Linked DNA regions of Saccharomyces cerevisiae S288C. The protein of the gene in region 3 binds, or shares a complex with, the protein of the main gene of each other region. Each region holds a gene or a part of one and is shown on either strand. Other genes may lie near its edges.

Region 1 (2,782 bases), on a different chromosome or scaffold from region 3:
ATGTTGTAACTCTAAGAAAGTAAAATAATAAAAAACATTTCATTTGTGCTGATCTTGCCAAAAAAAGGGTAAACAAGTAGGCAATAGTAATAAAATAAGAATGAAGCATTTCTTTTAATAAGCAGAGAGAACTTTCAAGCATTCAAAAAACACAAAAATAATGATGAATAAAATGGGACTCACAGTGTTTATTTATAGTCCTTGTTTCGCATTTTACCAAATTAAAATTTAATTTTATCAAGACATATTAATGAACTTTAGCGGAAAACCTTAAATATCCAAGTCATAAATAATGACTTATGTAAAAAGTTATAAGAAAAATATACGGTGTTCATTTTGGAACAATGTTGCTGTTACACACTGTTAAATATATTTAGTATTCATAAAAGAAAGAAGATTTTAATACGCGTTTTGATTAAAACTACATAACAGATAAATATATACATGGATTGAAGACTGCAAAAAGGATATATAAAAAAATGACAAATAATTTCAATAAGCTATTTCAATTGGTTAAAAATTGATTCTTTAAGAGGCTCTGGTATTGATGATTGCTCATGGGCAAAGGCAGTAATATTTTGTTTATAAGGGTTTTCACTTCCATCGAAAACTTTTAAGCGGTCTAACCGTTGCTTTCTCAATTTATTTTTAGGCAACATACCGCTAACTGCTTTTTTCAAAATTTCTCCAAATCCTTTATCGGCAACAACCTTGTTCATTGTCTGTAACTTTAGCTGACCAGGTCTACCTGAATGAGACCAGTAAGTCTTCTGCTCAAATTTCTTACCTGTTACACGGATTTTTTGGCAATTAGTCACTACTACGTAGTCTCCACAGTCTTGTGACGGATGATAGACCGGCTTATGTCTACCAATTAAGGTAATTGCAATTGCTGAAGCCAATCTACCCAATGTCCTCTTATCACGGGCAACGTCGACATGGTGCCAAAGGCGCGCAAAAGCCAAGCCACTGTGTCCAATCTTCTGCGACATGAATAGGCTATTGTTGATGCTGGTATTGCTTTCTTTTTCTATATGATATCAGTGTATTCATAAGGTCTTTCTCTTTTACTTATTTAGAACGTTTTAAAGATCTCTAAACTACAAGGAAGGCTCCATGCGGGTAACAATCAACATTATAACGATAATTAACTAAACCATAACCGTCTAAGTAACCATAGCGTGCGGTGATTCTTCGCTAGATGGAACTCATGTCTTACTAGTAGCGTGTTTGGTACGTGCAATATAGAGCAAAACATTATATAGACATCGTAATAGCTTTTTATGTGCGGACTGTAATGTTTGTAAGAAGTAAAACCAGTCACTAATATAGTGAAAAAAAGTCAACTTATCGATCTATGTATCTCATAGAAGATGTATTGATTTAATATAACTTATAAAGGTGCTTCTACAGTAAGGTGCTGAGAGGACTTACTATGTCGGCAACAAGTTCAAATCTGAAGCTCTGAGGATTTCGCGAGATGCGCACAATCTGAAGTAATATAAAGATGAAAACACAATACAAAAGGCCTGAAAATCTATATGTCCGATAAGATATCATAGTATTCTTACTCGCAAGCACACATCAGGTACTTGGAAGTGTATGATGAGGTATCAATGGTGGCTTTATTTAGTATATGCCATCGGCCTAATGCTATGCCTAGGCCCGTCGTATATTCATCCAGATGAACATTTCCAATGCATCGAGATTTTGGCTATGCAGTTCATGAAGGTCAAAGGTACCATCCCATGGGAATTTAAATCAAAATTTGCTGCTAGGAGTTACGGCCCCCTATTATTGGTTTACGGGCCTTTGTTCACTATTTTAGAATCTTTTCCCGAAATTCAGGACAACCCAGCGTTAATTCTGTATTCGATGAGACTACAAAACTATGTGATGTACCTATTGTGCTATCATTTTTTAATACCTAAATTAATAAGGGATGAGAGAAAGGCCGTACAATTCATCAAAAAAAGTCTACTTTTAACTTCTTACGTAACCTGGACGTACCAAACACACACGTTTTCCAATTCCATAGAAACGCTGGCTTTAATCTCAACTTTAACTGTAATGGAAGATATGGTAAACGAAAAAAATATTCAAAGAAGTAATTTCAAAAATTCGGTTATATTGGGACTTATATTTAGTTTTGGTGTTTTTAATAGAGTTACTTTTCCTGCATTTATTTTCTTACCATGTTTGATATTATTCTGGAAGTTTTACCGGGTCCATTGGAAATCCTTTTCTTTACTTTTACTTTCATTTTCATTTTCCTCGTGTCTATTTGTTCTTATTGATACAAATATTTATAACAACGGAAAGGGATTTGTCATTACGCCCTTGAATAACCTGAAATACAACCTCAATGTCCAAAATTTGCAAGTACATGGATTACATCCAAGATACACCCATCTGCTGGTCAATTTACCTCAAATAGTTGGCCCAGTATTGCTGCTAGCGATTTTTTCCGGTTACAAACTCGATAAATTATCTACTTACGCAATCATATCTGGCCTGCTTTTTCTTTCATTCTTTCAACATCAAGAATTAAGATTCCTTGTACCGCTAGTGCCACTACTCGTGACAAACTTAAACTGGACACCTCTGAGTTCCACGTTAGTAAACAAGAAAATTTTCAAGGGAACTTGGCTTCTTTTTAACATAATCATGGCGTTCATCATGGGAATTTCACATCAAGCAGGAATTATCCAATTTTTGGGAGATTACTTCCACTTTCGTACCGAACAAATGGGCGTTCACATATGGTGGAAAACATACTCAC
Region 2 (3,091 bases), on a different chromosome or scaffold from region 3:
AGAAATTGGAAGGTACAGCATTTCATTTACTCACTTATTTGATCTTTTCTTTTGTTTTCTGGTAAACATCTTTGTTTTAAATGGGCTCTCTACAACAAAACATGAAAAGTACTCAAGAAAAAAAATCTTTATTAGCGTTGGAATCAAAAAATATATAGCATTAGCAGAACGTTAAAGAGGATATTTGGTTTCTAGTCTAAATGGTGTTCCCTTTTCGAAACTGTATAAAATGAAAGGTAAGGTTCGAACTTCTGTGGCCTTACTTATTGCGTTCATATTCCGTGAAACTAGTATATATTAAAGGTTGCAAGCCAAGAGTTTCATTGAACACCAAAATGTTTACCAAGCAAGAACACGTCACCGCATTAATAACCAATATAAATTTCATTTAAGTTATTTTCATAGGATATTTACAAGGTATTCCCTATAAAGTATAAGAAAAGATACATGTCATAAAAAAAATTACGAAAATGAGTACGAAAATAACTGAAATCCTGAAGTTATTTGATTTTCTTGTCCTTTAGCTTTATTGTTTCATCGTTAACGTATATTCCTTTGCCTTTATACGGCTCTGGTGGATGGAATTTTCTCAATTTGGCAGCAAAAAGAAGGACCTGCTGCTTATTGCACCCTTCAATAATCAGAGACGTGGGAGCAGGTGTTTTGACAACAATACCTTCAGGAACGTCCAATCCTTGTTTGATAGATGCACCCACCTTAACGTTGACAAATTTACCATCATTTTCTAATTGAGCTCTATAACCTGTCCCTACAAATCTAAGGACAGCAAGATGCCCCTCAGTAACACCTATAATGTGATTATTTATAAGTGATCTTACTGTACCCCACATCGAACGTTGATGTTTATCTTCTGAATTCTGAACTGTAACATTTATTTTACCGTGCTTTTCATCCTTGTCCAAGTGCAAAAAATCAGGGACCTCCACGGACAATTCACCCTTGGGTCCCTTTACTGTGATATTCTGTGATATATTCATTGAAGTTCTACCTTTTCTGATAATCCTGGGCATGGATAATGCATTTATGGAAACCTGAACTTCAGGAGATATATAAAGTGGTAAAGACCCCACTTGAGAGCGCAGAAAAAGTGTTTGCGACAATAACCTCCTCTGAATAAATGACATAGGTTGGCCTCAATTCCTATAGTAAGATTTGCGATAGCTTTATTGCGTGATCTTCCCTTACTTACTAGTATTTGATATTCTTCCTCTATAACCGTAGCGTCTCCTCGCTATTTCCGCTCGCCTTTCATTACCCTCTACTTCCAGTGAAAAAAATTTCACTGATATAAGCTCATCGCAACAAAAATTCAATGGGATAAGTAATATAGAACGTTCTAAATAGATAAACCACCAGGCATAATCACAACCAATAATGGTTAGAAAACTAAAGCATCATGAGCAAAAGTTATTGAAAAAAGTAGACTTCCTTGAATGGAAGCAGGACCAAGGCCACCGGGACACTCAGGTCATGAGAACATATCATATTCAGAATCGTGAAGATTATCATAAATACAATAGGATATGCGGTGATATTCGTCGTCTTGCCAATAAATTATCATTATTACCTCCCACTGATCCATTTCGTCGCAAACATGAGCAATTATTACTGGACAAGCTATACGCTATGGGTGTCCTGACAACTAAATCAAAGATTTCTGATCTGGAAAATAAAGTTACTGTTAGTGCCATCTGTAGGAGGCGATTACCTGTAATAATGCATAGATTAAAAATGGCGGAAACTATACAAGATGCAGTCAAGTTCATTGAACAAGGGCATGTTCGCGTGGGTCCAAATTTGATCAACGATCCAGCCTACCTCGTAACGAGAAATATGGAGGACTACGTTACTTGGGTGGACAACTCTAAGATCAAGAAAACCTTGTTGAGATACAGAAACCAAATCGACGATTTTGATTTTTCATAAATTGACTACAAACTTACGTTTTCTGTATCAATACTCGATTTATCATCTTCCTACATTGTGAAATTATTACGAATAGGCAACGAGGCAGCAAATACAAATGATGTGAGGCGCCTGAGCTTTCTTAAAAGCTGGAAGCATGAAAAATTGTTATATACACAAAGGAACTTCTTCGTCGTATGCAAAAATAAGAAAAACCGCAAAACAATTTCTCATCGGCGTCATTTGTTAAATATGCCTTAAAACTTAAAAATACACTTCGAAAAAATCCTATTTAACATAAATTAATTTGTATAAATACGCAATTTGTAAAATTTCTCCAATAAAACATCAATTTATATATCCGATAATTGTCCGTTCATTATCTACACTTCAGTTGACGGTATAATTATGTGAAGAGCCTAATTGTTTTCTTAAATCGTCCTGTGAACCACTATGTGGCAAAATTCCACCAACACTTGGTGGCTGTACAACATCTGTCTCTTCTAATATCCCACTAACACGAGAATTATACAGTTGCTGCTGCTGCTGTTGCAGATAGATATTATTTTGTGTGGTCAGACTGTTATTTCTTGAATTGGTTGCGCTTACACTTCTGAAAGAACCTGCTGGCTTATAAGATGGTTTTGCCGTCAAATCCGAAGGATTGGTCATTACCACACTTTGTCTAAGTTGATAAGGTGAAGGAACCGCCCCATTTTCGTTAAACTTCATATATTGGCCTTGCTGCTGTGGAGCATAATAGGCATCGTTTGTCGGTGAATAAAACATTTCCGGATGATCGACCGGATTTAACGCAGTTCCGTTTAGTCTGGCAGTCTGTAATTGAAGAAGTTGTTGCTTGTTTGGTCTTTTAAAAGAGGTCAATGAATGCGAGGAAGCTGATTGAGCTAAATATGCGGGAGTTGGTAATTCTCCAATAGTTTCCAGGGTCTGAGGATGATTATGTTGCTGTTGTTGAGGAGTTGGTACACCGTACCATTGTGGATTTTGCACGAATTGCGCAGTATACCCCTGTTGCTGAGGATTTCCGCTATATCCATTGCCAGGATACTGTGTGTGGCCATTATATACTGGTGATTGTTCCTGTTGTTGATATTGATCCTGATAATTCAACGGCTGAATTGCTTCGGAATAAATTGAGGAA
Region 3 (5,358 bases):
CCTTTTTTTGTTATTACGTTGTTTCAAGTATTCGGTGTACAATGCATTTGTAAGCGTAGAAACACTATTATCGGCCCCCTTTCTCTTCGCAAGTATACCTCGTATTTCGGGATGAACAGGCTCTCTTTTTATATTCGCAAATTCCTTCTTTACTAATTGATCTATTTCATTTTTGTAACCATCTGGTATTTTCCCTTTATCAACAAAGCTAAGGCCGTCCATCAAATCTAAACGTTGAATACCGTACGGTTGCTCTTTCAGATATCCTAGAAGTTACATCTTTTATATGTTTCAGTCTTATTCCATATTTATTAGACTAGTGTGATTTGCAGGGTGTAAAGCGGGTAACCAAATACAAGAGGTCATATTTCAGGACATGATCATATAACAATGGCAAAATTGACTTTAAATCTTAAATATCAGGAGTCTTATCTGCCCCAAATTATATATACAAGTATAATTATCTCTCTCTATTTCTAGAATTTTCTTATATACTAAAGCTAAATTCTATGCCTTTTCGCAGCATGCAGAGGCGACCATATACCCCTCACACTACTGTTCAAGCTTTCCACGTTATCATTCTTTGTTCTTCTGCGTAAAATGTCTCCATCAGAATCCTTCAATAGCTTTAGCTTGTTTTCTACATTGTCAATGTTCAAGTTTCTCACACAAATAACTTTTTCACGCCCATTTGTGTATTCTGCCCTCAACAAAGGATGTCCAGACTTCCTCATCACTTCAAACTGTATCCATGGGAACTCCTGGCCCCATTTATCTAATCTCTTTGAAGTCAAAAATTTCCTCATGCCTTCCGAAGACCCTCCCCAGTTACAGAATTGCAAAGTAATCTTTCTGCATGGAAACACGAATGCTCCAACTCCATTACGACCTATGGAATTTCGTGCAATAGCTTTCACAACCATTTCTCCATATATTCGTGTCTGTGTATCTACTTAGTCATGGTTTATGATAATCGTATTGATTGATCTTTTTTATCTCAGGGCTTATGATTTGTTGTAATTCTTATGAGCATCCCTCATCCGAAAAAGACGGAAAGCACCGTAACGTATAGTGCGATAAACTTACAGAAAAGAATAGTATTATTTAAGGGAGTTAAATGGAGTTGTTTGATGATATAGGCAGATCAAACTACGCTTTACAGTCCAGTAAACTTAACAACGAAAAATGTGTTTAGTCAAAACTACGGCTCATTTGCTTTTTTATTCCTTTGTGTATGTACAGATTAAGACACAAGAAAAAATTTGAACAATTATGATTAATTGAGAATAACTGACTAACAACTTTTATGTACCAACTTAATCTTTCAGATTTGGAGGAACGACGTTTTATTCCTATGTAGCTTCTCCAATCGCATTCAAAGTTCTTGAAAAAGACCAATTTTCTGCTTTGCAAAATAAGATCTTCCCGTATTTTTTCCAAATGCAAGCGGCATCACCTGTCATCCTGGCCCTTACCGCTCCAATTGCCTTGACAACAGGACCATTATCTTCTTTGGTGGTTGCATCTGTCAGTGGGCTAACCAATTTGTTTTGGTTGTTGCCCTGGACCCATAAAGTTAAAGAACAAAGAAAGAATATTGCGAAGAAATACACGGGTAGTGAATTGGAAGCAAAGGATGCTATATTACGTAAAGAATTTGGCAAGTCGCACGGATTGAGTCTTTTGTTCAATCTTTCTAATGTTTGCGGGATGCTTGCGTACGGTGTTTGTTTGTCAGGTGGTTTGTTAAGAAAAATTCCAAAATAATTATTTTACAAGTAAATATATATATGCAAGATCATTTTTTCGTCATTCCTTTGCCAAGGTGGAGATGAAGTTCGCAATCGGAATTTTTTGACCCTCAATTAAAGAATAAGGGACTCAGTTCTCTGCTATCCTGATCTTGGCTAAAAATAACTAAAAGGGGAATTGTGCTGTTTGTAGGATCTTAAAATAAAAGAGAACAATATTTATCTTGAAGTTTTTTCTATTTTTTTATTTCTACAAGCTTTTCTTATATATAGACCTAGCAATCCTATATTATTAAGCCGGAAAATCGTAACGAATAAAAACGAATAAAGGAGATACTAGAAAGGGCCTACTTTTTAGCAATTTGAGCTTCTAAATAATTTTTTAATTCCTGTGCGAAAACTTGAGATCTCAATTTATCAATTTCACTTTCATCAACAACAAGATTCAATAAATCTTTGTATTGCTTTTCTAATTCAACTTCATTCTCTTTATGTAAAAAATCGTAATCACCTGTATCGAGATCCAAATCCACCAAATCACCATCTCCAAGTCCAAAAGATCCAGAGCTGGATGGCATAACCAAGGAGTTTATGTCACTCCAATTCTTTTGAAGTATGCCAGCAGCGTGTTTGTTATTTTGTTTAGTACCTTGTTTAACCTTCAAATCTAACAACTTCTTATAGATTTTTCTCGCACCAATCTTTTTATTAAGAACATTATTAACTTGAACTTTCAAAAGTTTGACATCAATATCGATATCATCTCTACAAATTAACTTATTGAAGTCGATCCTTTCACTCGGTCCTCCGAATTTACTCTTTTGCAAAAATTTCACTATCGTAGTAATCCAAGTAATAAAACCTTCAAAAATGCCCTCTGAATCGTTCAAATATACATCATGAATAAACTCAAAAAAGGCATCTTGATGTTTGGTTACTAAGTTATGGATTTCTTCCACGACATCGAACTGTGTGGAAACGCCCAACTGACCATTGATAACATCATCAACAAGCCTGATCAAATCACTCATGAACTTCTCAAAATTTTTCAAAGCAACATCCATCCTTGCAACTTTGAAGATCTTGACCATAGGTTCGTAAATCATAGTGACAATTGCCTTTAGCATTTGGGTTAACTCAGGATCTTGCCATAGCTGCCTCATTAGCTGTTTATCATGTTCTTTAATATACAATTGCCATAAATCTTTGACGTGTGTGAAATAAATACCTGACTGATCTTCGCTGGTTACATTCAAGGCATCCGTGTCTTCTTTTTGCAGTTTCCATGATGAATAGGATTCAATAAGTCCCGCGACAACCTCGTCTGGAATTAGATTTGCAGCTGCACTTTTCATTAATACTATCAATGGTACAGGCATGTTCATGGATTCGGATTCTGCATTTACTGCGTCCATAGTAAAGAGTTTAGTATCATGCTCATCCTTAGTATCATTATTAAAGACAAAATCCTTCAAGCATTTAGTCACAACTGAAGCGCCCGGGTCCATCTCAGCAATTTTCCTTTCTAATTCCTTTATAGCTACCTTTTGAGTTTTCAAATCATCTGTTAATATCGTAGAAAACATTGTTTGAAGGAGCGAATGACCACCGAAGGGTTGTGCCATAAATAATTCAATCATACCCCTCATGATCGCTATTGGATTAGTAAATTTCATGATCTGTCCCATTACTGTGTACGGCATAAGCTTATGTAACCGTCTTATTTGTGTATAGAGTTCATAACTGTTATCGTTACCCAGAAACATTTGATAAATCATTGAGGAAATATAAATCTTACACCATTCCACAAAGTCTTGTAAAAGTGGTGACAGGTCTTCAACTTTCGTATTGTCCTTGATTTCTACTAGTAGACTCATCAAGTATTTTTCATCTTTTAACAGGGATGTTTTGAAATCTTTCATTGAGTCTTGCAGCTTTAAAGACTTTTCTAACGCCATCTGTTGGAAACGTATTTGGTTCTCCAAATTACTTACATCTATCAGAGCCCTGTTTCTAATGTCATCTGCTATTTTCGGATTTATGTCCTTAATATCTAAATTAGGCCCACTTAGGAAGAAGCGACGAATAGATGAGCTTTGAGAAACCTCTGCATCTTTACACAAAGTCCTTAAATATTGTCTTAATGAAGTTCTCATTTTTTCACCCACCAAAGTATTGATTTTTGAATCGGATGCATCTTTATATTCATCAAAATCACTTTCTTCACCTTCACCTTCTTCCTCATACTCGTCCTCATCAATATTATCTTCTTCCTTGATCTCATTTAGAATATTTTTTCTCAACGTTTCAGTTTCTTTTTCTGTGAGTACTGTTTCTGTAGCAGATAATTCATTCGTTGTCTGTAAAAATGAAGAATTATCAGACTCTGATGCAGATTGTAAATCAGTGTCAAAAGTGTTGACGATTTTTTCCCTGGCTGCTGATTTAGTTTGCCCATTGTGTAACACTTCGGTTTTAGTTATCATAGACGTCACTTTTTTATTTCTATGAGGTAAGCGCGGACATTTCTTCCCCGGAAATTCTGATTTTAAATCATGAGATAGTTTTTTGAAGTCGCTGTATGTTCTTGTCACATAGAAATAACCAGCATGGTGATCAAGATTACTATTCTCTTCATTGCTGTTATCTTGGTCGTCGTCATCTTGCTTCTTAATCTTAATCAAGAAATAATGATGTTTTCTAGATTGCTTGCTCTTAGTTGAAGGCACGCCAAGGGATAATTTCGAAAATAAAGATGCTGAGGATTCGGGCATACTATTTATGGTACTGTTAATAGTGTTGTTGAAGGCATTCTTCATCCATTTAGAAGTGGAAGCAAATGATTTTATAGCATGGCTTTTGGGACTCGAAGTTGGAGTAGATTTACTAGACTTGTCATTATCCACACTTTCAGTACATTTCCGTGAATTCTTATTGAACACGGATATAATATTGACGTCCCAACCGTTAATAAAAACGGATTCGTTAGTGAGCAAATTCTCTAAATTTTCTCTAGTTGGCATTGCAAATTTCTCAATATTAGAGCGTTTTCTCGCTTGGCCTGACTGTAAAACGAATTTATCCTCATTATAATACGCTTGCTCTTGAAAAGAGCCAACACCGGAGTTAAAGAGCAACAAGATAACCTTTGATAGCTTTTTGGAAACTTTCTTCCTTTTTGAAGCTTCCTCCCTGTCATAACTTTCACTAAACCCAAGACTCATGAAATGTTCAAAGAACACTTGAACCTTACTCTGCCAGAATTTTTCATCAACTAGCAAATTTGTTGAAAGTAAAGGAAATGTGGATATAAATTCTTGCAAAACATAACTCAGCATGGGATAATTAACGCTAAAATGGCCTTTGCCACCGAGCACTGGTGATGAATCGTTATTGGAGATAGGCTGTGGAGCTGTCGGATCGTTTGGTGAGAAAGGATAACCGAACTTTCTCAAAGCAAACTGATCGTTAAGCTTTCCAATTTCATAATCCAATTGACATCGAAGCAGTTCCCTCTTCAGGTAGTGTTCTTCCGTTGGATTTAAAGCAGGAGTGTCTTGAGTAATCATTTGAAGACTGTCTATTTTTGATTCTTTAGTACAATTAT

The links. The genes of interacting proteins can lie anywhere in the genome.
Region 1: MRPL51 (region 3) and MRPL23 share a complex: the UniProt entries of both Saccharomyces cerevisiae proteins name them as parts of the mitochondrial large ribosomal subunit.
Region 2: MRPL51 (region 3) and MRPL6 share a complex: the UniProt entries of both Saccharomyces cerevisiae proteins name them as parts of the mitochondrial large ribosomal subunit.

Annotation. Positions count from the first base shown.
Region 1 is NC_001147.6:610,209-612,990, reverse strand, and holds MRPL23 (mitochondrial 54S ribosomal protein uL13m MRPL23), read right to left. Parts: upstream 993-2,782; coding exon 501-992; downstream 1-500. Other genes in the region: SMP3 (glycosylphosphatidylinositol-alpha 1,2 mannosyltransferase), read left to right, coding at 1,603-2,782. UniProt on the Saccharomyces cerevisiae protein: Component of the mitochondrial ribosome (mitoribosome), a dedicated translation machinery responsible for the synthesis of mitochondrial genome-encoded proteins, including at least some of the essential transmembrane subunits of the mitochondrial respiratory chain.
Region 2 is NC_001140.6:392,139-395,229, forward strand, and holds MRPL6 (mitochondrial 54S ribosomal protein uL6m MRPL6), read right to left. Parts: upstream 1,146-3,091; coding exon 501-1,145; downstream 1-500. Other genes in the region: snoRNA-binding rRNA-processing protein IMP3, read left to right, coding at 1,396-1,947; SKG6 (Skg6p), read right to left, coding at 2,317-3,091. UniProt on the Saccharomyces cerevisiae protein: Component of the mitochondrial ribosome (mitoribosome), a dedicated translation machinery responsible for the synthesis of mitochondrial genome-encoded proteins, including at least some of the essential transmembrane subunits of the mitochondrial respiratory chain.
Region 3 is NC_001148.4:725,356-730,713, reverse strand, and holds MRPL51 (mitochondrial 54S ribosomal protein mL43 MRPL51), read right to left. Parts: upstream 924-5,358; coding exon 501-923; downstream 1-500. Other genes in the region: SNT309 (Snt309p), read right to left, coding at 1-222; YPR099C (uncharacterized protein), read left to right, coding at 601-957; TMH18 (Tmh18p), read left to right, coding at 1,186-1,232, 1,329-1,767; LEC1 (Lec1p), read right to left, coding at 2,099-5,320. UniProt on the Saccharomyces cerevisiae protein: Component of the mitochondrial ribosome (mitoribosome), a dedicated translation machinery responsible for the synthesis of mitochondrial genome-encoded proteins, including at least some of the essential transmembrane subunits of the mitochondrial respiratory chain.